2 linked regions of the Rattus norvegicus genome follow. The protein of the gene in region 1 purifies or fractionates together with the protein of each later gene. This does not show direct contact. Links are inferred from orthologs where the notes say so. Each region holds a gene or a part of one and is shown in the gene's direction. Other genes may lie near its edges.

What was found.
Region 2: the proteins of Dapk1 (region 1) and Ifi30 purify together in Homo sapiens (affinity purification with mass spectrometry; 3 studies listed by BioGRID and IntAct, counting the BioPlex papers as one, with this or other methods). This does not show direct contact. The link is inferred for Rattus norvegicus from reciprocal best matches to the Homo sapiens genes DAPK1 and IFI30.

The regions. Positions count from the first base shown.
Region 1 is NC_086035.1:3,946,452-3,950,262, reverse strand, and holds part of Dapk1 (death-associated protein kinase 1), read left to right. Parts: coding exon 1-188; intron 189-1,085; coding exon 1,086-1,224; intron 1,225-2,682; coding exon 2,683-2,803; intron 2,804-3,811. UniProt on the Homo sapiens protein: Calcium/calmodulin-dependent serine/threonine kinase involved in multiple cellular signaling pathways that trigger cell survival, apoptosis, and autophagy.
Region 2 is NC_086034.1:18,708,224-18,712,644, forward strand, and holds the start of Ifi30 (gamma-interferon-inducible lysosomal thiol reductase precursor), read left to right. Parts: upstream 1-1,346; 5' UTR 1,347-1,541; coding exon 1,542-1,664; intron 1,665-2,881; coding exon 2,882-3,064; intron 3,065-3,164; coding exon 3,165-3,239; intron 3,240-3,318; coding exon 3,319-3,411; intron 3,412-4,056; coding exon 4,057-4,209; intron 4,210-4,421. UniProt on the Homo sapiens protein: Lysosomal thiol reductase that can reduce protein disulfide bonds. May facilitate the complete unfolding of proteins destined for lysosomal degradation. Plays an important role in antigen processing.

The DNA.
Region 1 (3,811 bases):
TTTCAGCGTATGGGAGTTCTCTGGAAACCCTGTGTACTTCTGTTGCTATGACTACTTCGCCGCCAACGATCCCACATCCATCCACATCATCGTTTTCAGTCTCGAAGAACCCTATGAGATCCAGCTGAACCAAGTGATTTTCTGGCTTAGTTTCTTGAAGTCTCTGGTCTCAGTTGAAGAACCCATAGGTGAGTGAGGTCCTTTCTTTCCCCCCGAGATGTTTCTATTGAGGTCGTCACACTGGCTACACTCACACCCTACAGAATGGCACTCCTGGCTGTGGCTTCCTCCCAGTCCTGAGACATCCTTGGTAGCCACTTCTCTCCTCTGGTGCAATTCAGCGCTAAGGGCATCATTGCTGACTGCACAGCGGAGTCTTCCATCCATGGCCCCTGCTTTCTTCTGGAGAGTATTGAACTATTCATCAGTGGAAGGGTTACCCTTCAGTCTGCAGCTCCACGCAGCCTTGGTGAAAAGGAGCAGTGGCTTGGCCTCAGCACACTGGCTAGAGGAGAGGGTGATGGAATGGACTTTGGGCCCAGTGAGATTTATTGCAAGTGTATTCGTTGTCTTTGTGCAGGGTGATGTTCAGAAGCCAGCTTCTGTCTCTAGGGAACCCATGCTTATGACATCAGCTGGCTGACCTCCCAGAGGAAGCCATTTTGCCTCTTATTTCTCCCTTGTCATATCTCTTTTGAAACACTTCTATGAGGAATGGCCCTGCCTGTGTGAGTTAGAGACAGCTTCTCTCTTGGCTGTGTCAGGTGTATGGCTACATTCAGAAGGGTTCCTTTCTCCCTGCCCCAGCTGCCCCCTCCACCATGAAAGCTGACTTTGGTTGCAGATTCTCTGCCTGCATGTCAAAGCCTATTTAAAGACACCCCTAAGAGCTACTCTTTGTGTTGCAGTCTGCTCTGATCTCTGCTGAGGTCTCTTGTGGAGGACCAGGACCAGAGGCCACACTCCATAATGTAGCCCTTGAGTCTGTGTGCAGGTTACACATCACCTACACAGGTGGTCTAGGCATGAGACCAACACAGCCAGAGAAGAGATCAGACTCTCACAAGGTATACTTTCTCCCTCAGCATTTGGAGGCAAGCTGAAGAACCCTCTCCGAGTTGTCCTGGTGGCCACACATGCTGACATCATGAACATCCCTCGGCCTGCTGGGGGCGAGTTTGGATATGATAAAGATACATCCTTGCTGAAAGAGATCAGGAACAGGTGAGGGCGGCCGGCTGGTGGGAACAGGTGAGGGCAGCCTGCTGGTGGAAGCAGGTGAGGAGAGCCTCTTAGGAGGTAGGGTGAGCATCTGTCCTGGGGGATGACCGATCCGGTAAGATGATGGGGCAGAGGGCATGTGGTCATGCTGGGTGGGCTGGCATGTGGTGGCTGAAGGAACTTTCATCATTGGTTGAGTTTTTCATTTTCATCAAAACAAATCTCTCTAGACACAGAGAGACACAAAAGATCACAGTTCTCCTGTTCTCACCCAGCACCCTCCACACAGACTTCTGCTCTCATCATGGAATGGGGCAGGAAGAATAGGGAAGATCGGAGTGCTTCTCCTGTCAGTGCGATCATACAAGTCCTGTGTTTCTCTTATAAAGCAGTATAAAAACATAACTTTAAGTTTAGAATCTGTTAGTGATGTTAGGTAATGTAAAGATATGCCTGAAGTTGGGTAGGTAATAACAGATGTATTTAGCTTAGGAGGAGGGAGGTCTAAGCCCCATTTGTGACGTCCCCTGGATAACATCACTTCCCGGTGTGTGGCATCATGGTGGAGCGCATGTAAGGGTGGGAATTCAGAGAGGTTTAGGGATTAGGCTCTCTTGATACTTCACACGTCCCACAGAAACTACTTCGTTAACACATATCACCACACTGGGGAGAGGGCCCCTATAACACAGGCACCCTAGAGGACAGACCTCATCCAAACTCTAGCAGGCTTCAAGGCTCCACCAACAAGTTTGAACTTGGGTGCTGGAGAGATAACTTGGCAGTTAAGGGCACTGGCAGCTCTTCGAGAGGACCTGAAATTTGTTCCCAGCACCCACACATGCAACTGCCTGTAACTTCAGTTCTAGGGGATCTAATGTTCCCTTGTGACCTCTGTGGGCTCCCAAACACAGGTGGTATATACACAGAGGTGTGTACACACGAATAAAAAAATAAAACAAATCTTTAAAACACAAAATTGAACTTGCAGCTTCCTGTAGCATGCTGGCACTCAGGTGTTGAATTACCTGTGAGAGACACAGTGTTTTCTTCCGCCATGCAAAGTGGTCTTTTGTGAACATTTTTAGGTCAGATGTGTAACTTTCTTATTCTGCTTGTGATCTTAGCCCTGCACCACCACCAGTATTTCCTCCCCTCCCTCGGAAAGTAAACACATACGCCTCTGCATCAGGTGGCTCTGACATTTACATTCTTTTCTTCTACCTGTGCTCAAACCCCAGACTCCCAATTATGTGATTGAGGGTGTGCAATTACCAGGTATGACTTACCAGAGGGACCAGCAGGATTCACCCAACAGCAGGGACAGAGAGGCTCCTTCAGGGTCACCACGACCCTTCCTCCTTCCCTCCCATCGGCCATTAGGGCCAGTAGGAACTTGGCCCCTGTGTGGAAAGACCTAAAGTTGACTGAGAGCTGATTTCACTCCTGCTCTTGCCATAGGTTTGGGAATGACCTTCATGTCTCAAATAAGCTGTTTGTGCTGGATGCAGGAGCATCTGGGTCTAAGGACATCAAGGTTCTCCGGAATCACCTGCAAGAAATACGGAGTCAGATTGTCTCGGTGAGTACACATGGAGGGGCCGGGACCCCACTGTGGGGATGCCAGCACTGACCAGCACGCTGACCCTGCTCTAGTGGCCCCAGTTTGGCTTGGTTTTCAGGGGGACAGGTAGACAGTAGAAGCTGGGAATGAAGTCTGTTTCCGTGTGATTCTCCTGTTTCTCTGGAAGAGGCAGGAAGAGAGAGAGAGCAACATAGACAAGGAAGGAGATAGAGGGTCCAATAGTGGACCATCTCAGGGTGCATCAAGTTCTTATTTTGTTTCCTGGCTTCTTTAAATATAAAATTTCTTTTTATAAATCCCAACACCAATTCTAGTTTGCTTTATTTTAGTGTGTGTAACAAATTCAGAACAGAAAAGTAGTCACTGATGAGATTTACTAAAGGATGTGTATTGATGGGTGAAGACACACTGGATGAGACTGTTCTCATTGACACATTGGATGAGACTGTTCTCATTGACACATTGGATGAGACTGTTCTCATTGACACATTGGATGAGACTGTTCTCATTGACAAAATGGATGAGACTGTATTCTCATTGACACAATGGATGAGACTGTATTCTCATTGACACATTGGATGAGACTGTGTTCTCTTTGACACATTGGATGAGATTGTTCTTATTGACACAATGGATGAGACTGTGTTCTCATTGACACACTTGAAGAGACTGTTCTCATTGACACACTGGAAGAGACTGTTCTCATTGACACATTGGATGAGACTGTGTTCTCATTGACACATTGGATGAGACTGTTCTCATTGACACATTGGATGAGACTGTTCTCATTGACACATTGGATGAGACTGTTCTCATTGACACATTGGATGAGACTGTTCTCATTGACACATTGGAAGAGACTGTTCTCATTGACACATTGGATGAGACTGTGTTCTCATTGACACATTGGATGAGACTGTTCTCATTGACACATTGGATGAGACTGTTCTCATTGACACATTGGATGAGACTGTTCTCATTGACACATTGGATGAGACTGTTCTC
Region 2 (4,421 bases), on another chromosome or scaffold:
AGGCAGGCACCAGCTGTGTCTGTCCTCAAGTGACGTCCATGTGGTCCCTAACTTCCTCATCGGGAAGAGAGGTGGCAACAACCTCTCAGCCACTCAGGCAGGTGTCTCCTGTCCCTAGTCTCCCTGAGTTGTGAGGGGAGGCCAAGGTCTGGCCCCTCTGCACACCTGCTGAAAGAGCCCAGGGCCTGTGCTCATTAGCAAAATTGGGAAACCTAATAGTCCTGCTAGGAACACATCAAGACTTGTGCCTGTGACTACTTCCCTGAGTACTTCCCCCTCCCCCATCTGCACCAGTCAGTGTGTCACTATCTTCTGAGAGCACCTTTGGACTCAGCTAGGCCAGGAATGGACAGAGCCCATCCCTGACCTACTACCCTATGGGGTTCAGTTGGCCTTGGTCTTTGCTGCATCCTGCGACTGACCTAAGACAAACAGTACCTTGTGGTCCCAGATCCTGGGAAGCTGAGGCAGAACCACAAGCTTGTTAGTTGGAGAGACACGAATCAACATTAAGGAAAACAAATGTTACCTGTGCTTGGGGGCATGTCTCGGCAGAACCCCTCCCTCAGAATCTCCCAATGAGGGGCTGGGGGCATGGCTCAGGGGAGATCTTTGCCGAGCTTGCAGAGGGGTCGGGGTGGGAATACCAAGTCTTGGTTAGAACAGAGCCTCTCAGCCTGTAGCTGTCCCTATCAGCTTCTGAACGCTGGAAATCGCCATCCTCTCTAGCTTGCTGTCTCCTGAACAAAAAACCAGGGTTTCTCACACTTGGAACTGGAACTTTTCCTGCTGGTGCTGCTGTTCTGTGGCTTGTCACTGCTCCAGGGACCCAGTGTTCAGCTTTCAATCTGACTTGGTGCAGAGGCTCCAGTCCCAGCCTAGGTCACCTCTGATTTTTTTTTTTCGTGGTGACTATCCACAGTCATTGTGTCACTCGTGCCCCATTTCAGAGGCCGGGAAACCGCAGCTGATGGAAAGAGGCAGAGTCCTGGAGTCCAGGCACATCTCCGCCTACACACTCTGTTGCTGGAAGCAAGTACCCCAGCTCTGTCCTCAACCCAAGCCAGGGCCCAGGACCTCAGAGATGGGGAGTTGCCCTGGCTGAGCTAGCTTCTGTGCTAGGGCCATAATCAGCAGAGGTCGGGGGATGTGCCCGACGGGGCTGGCTTGCTCTGACCTGGAGTGGTGGGGGTAAGAATTAGTGAGGAGTCTGTATCACTCCCCGACCTCCACTGAGCTCAAAGGAAGGACATGAGGACTCTGCCTTATGTCCCTCGGTCGGTTATTGTCTGGAGTCCTCCTTCCCGTCCCTTGATCCAAAAGCCTCACGTGACCGGACATACTGGCTGCGGAGAACACAAGGCTAGACAGAGTCCTGTGGCCTCGTGATTTGGGGCTAGCACCTGGCTGGAGCGGAGCCTTGAGGAAAGGGGGCCCAGAGTTAGGAGGAACCTGTGTGGGCGTGGTCTCAGTGGGTGGAGCATCCACTTGCTTAAAGTCTCCCGCCTCCCCGGCCTGGCCAAGCTTTTTTCTCCTCAGCCATGTCCTGTTCTCCGCTCGTACCATTCTTGTCCCTTTTGCTTCTGCTGTTCCTACCCGAGGTTCCCAGAGCAGCCACTGCGTCCCTGCCGCAAGGATCCTCCGAGGGCGCAGCCACCTGCAAGGTAGGAACCACGACGCAGGAAGGGGCCCGCCAGTCTGTCAGCATAGGGACTTCTCTGCACTTATTCCGTGAACTCATTCGGGGAATTCCAAAGTCTCCAGGGAAAGTTGTCAGGTTCAGGGCCACCACCCCTAATCCAGTCCCCGGACACTGAGCACCGTGTCCACGTCCTTCGTTTCCCCTCTTAGGTCTGAAAAGCGCAGCTATCCCCTGCCCGCCTTGCCTGAGCATTTATCAACCACCTACGGTATATGTTTGAGTCAAGAGCTGAGGGATGGGCACGCGCGCGGCATGTAGGGGAGTGTTCTGCTCCAGACCTGTTGAGCTACTGTCTGGTCTCCACTCTCACGCAATTCTTGTCGCTTACCGCGTGCGTTCCAGCCAAAGAAGAGAGGGCTAACGAGCTTCTGACATGGAGCAAACACATGCCCCGTGCACCTAGAGCGGTGCTCAGATTCTGGCCCGCCCTCCCTGGGGACCGGAAGTCTGTACGCATCAGTCACCTCCTGTGTCTAGTCGGGCGTCAGACTGGGTGAAGTTCCCCTGGGTCCCTGGAGAGGAAGAATAAATAGAGTGAGGGGGCACGGGGGAGAGAGGGAGGAAGGGGGAGAAAGGGGGGAAGGGAGGAGGGCGCGAGCGCTTGTATTTGGCTTCAGAGTGTGCATCTCCAAACAGACAAGGCTGAGAGAGAGCGGCAACTAGAAATATGTATATCTTATTTTTCTTTTACTTTAGTTCTCTTGTTTTGTTATTGTTTTGATTAGGTTTGGTTTTCTGTTTTGTTTGTTGACGGGACAGAGTCTCAGTGTAGCGCTGACTGTCCTGGAACTCACTATGTAGTAGACCATGCTGGCCTTGAGCTCTTCCACTGCCTCCCAAGTGCTAGAAATATGCATGTCTTAGCACTTCCTGAATATAGTTAAAGATTGTGCATTCACTGACCACCTACTGTTTGAGAGCCTGTCAGGTTCCGTTTTTTGTAGATAAACTGTGATTGCGGAACACGATCTAGAGACTAGAAAACCTCAGAGGGGCCGGGGCGTGGCTCATCAGGAGACCGCTCACCCCACATGCGCAGAGACCTCTAGTCCCAGTGCCACAAGGCTGAACGGAACTATAAGCAACTTGTCATAGGACTGCCCTCTGCAGGGGTGACCGGGCTCGGAAGCCTGGGGATGACCCGGGCTGCACCTCACCAGATGCCTCTCTTCCTTTCAGGCCCACGACCTGTGCCTCTTCGGGCCACGCCGGTTGCTCTCTGCACCACCTGTCAATGTCAGCCTCTATTATGAGTCCCTGTGTGGAGCTTGTCGCTACTTCCTCGTCCGAAATTTGTTCCCAACCTGGCTGATGGTTATGGAAATCATGAACATCACTCTGGTGCCCTACGGGAACGCACAGGTGCTGGAGGGGGGCGGGAAGCGACTGAAGCTGGGAGGGATGCCTTGGGACAGGAACGCCTGGTCACCTGCGCTCACCAAGATCTATCCTTATCTTGCAGGAGAGAAATGTCAGCGGTACATGGGAGTTCACGTGCCAGCACGGGGAGCTGGAGTGTAAACTGAACAAGGTGGAGGTAAGCTGGAGTGCAGATCCGCCATGGAGGGAGGCAGGGTTGGCCACTTTCTCCCCATAACACTTGCCTGCTTCTCCAGGCCTGTCTGCTGGACAAGCTGGAAAAGGAGGCGGCATTCCTAACCATCGTCTGTATGGAGGAGATGGAGGACATGGAGAAGAAACTGGGCCCGGTGAGTTAGTGCGTGGGAGGCTGCGCAGCCAGGTCTCCAGTATCTGCGCAGGGGTTCCACCCCAGAGCCACGCCCCCAGGCCCTCACTTGGGGGTTCCAGGCAGCGGCTCTGCCCCACATCACACTACCCTAGCCCTGGGCGTGACTTTGCCCATATAGTTTTTATACGGGAAAACCTTTAGATCTATGAGCAGAGCCTGGGATCTTCACTCTCTGTAGACACAAGATAGGTGACAGGAGATAAGCCAGGGCATTGTGGGAAATAACGTCCAAGTCCAAAGATTGATTCACAACTCTCCAATCGCTACTGTGGCCGCCCAGCCTCCTCGAACCTGAGGGACATTTCCAGCGCTGCCCCTTTGATATGACTGGAGAATGAAGGAGGACGAGCACCTAGGAGACACCAAGGAAGGAGCAGGGTGTTGCCAGCAGAGGGATCTTGTAAGAAGGCCCTGAGATAATGAGATACCAGGGGGCAGAGGCTGCAAATCCGGTGTTACTGGGAGGCAAGAGCACCCAAAGACTCAGTTTCAAGGAACCTCCACCCAGGCAGACAGTGAGAGGGGAGAGGCTTATCTGGGGCCACCTGGGGACTGATGGCGAAATAACGAGTGAACTAAGCAATGTGTCCTCCTCTTCTCACAGTGCCTGCAGCTGTATGTTCCAGAGGTGTCACCAGAAAGCATCATGGAGTGTGCCACCGGAAAACGAGGCACAGAGCTGATGCATGAGAACGCCCAGCTCACAGATGCCCTACAGCCACCCCATGAGTATGTGCCCTGGGTCCTGGTCAACGAGGTAAGAACTCTCTAGCTGACCGGGCAGCACAGTCTGAATTCAAGGCTCCAGAGCCATGTAAAAAGGTAGACATGGTGGCATCTTCCCCAGCAGTGAGTGTCGCTACATCAGTGACTCCAGGCTCCGTGGTTAAGAGCACTAGCTGTTCTTGCAGATGACCTGGGTTCGAGTCCCAGTACCCATGTGGCAGCTTGCTGCAGACACTCCGGGGA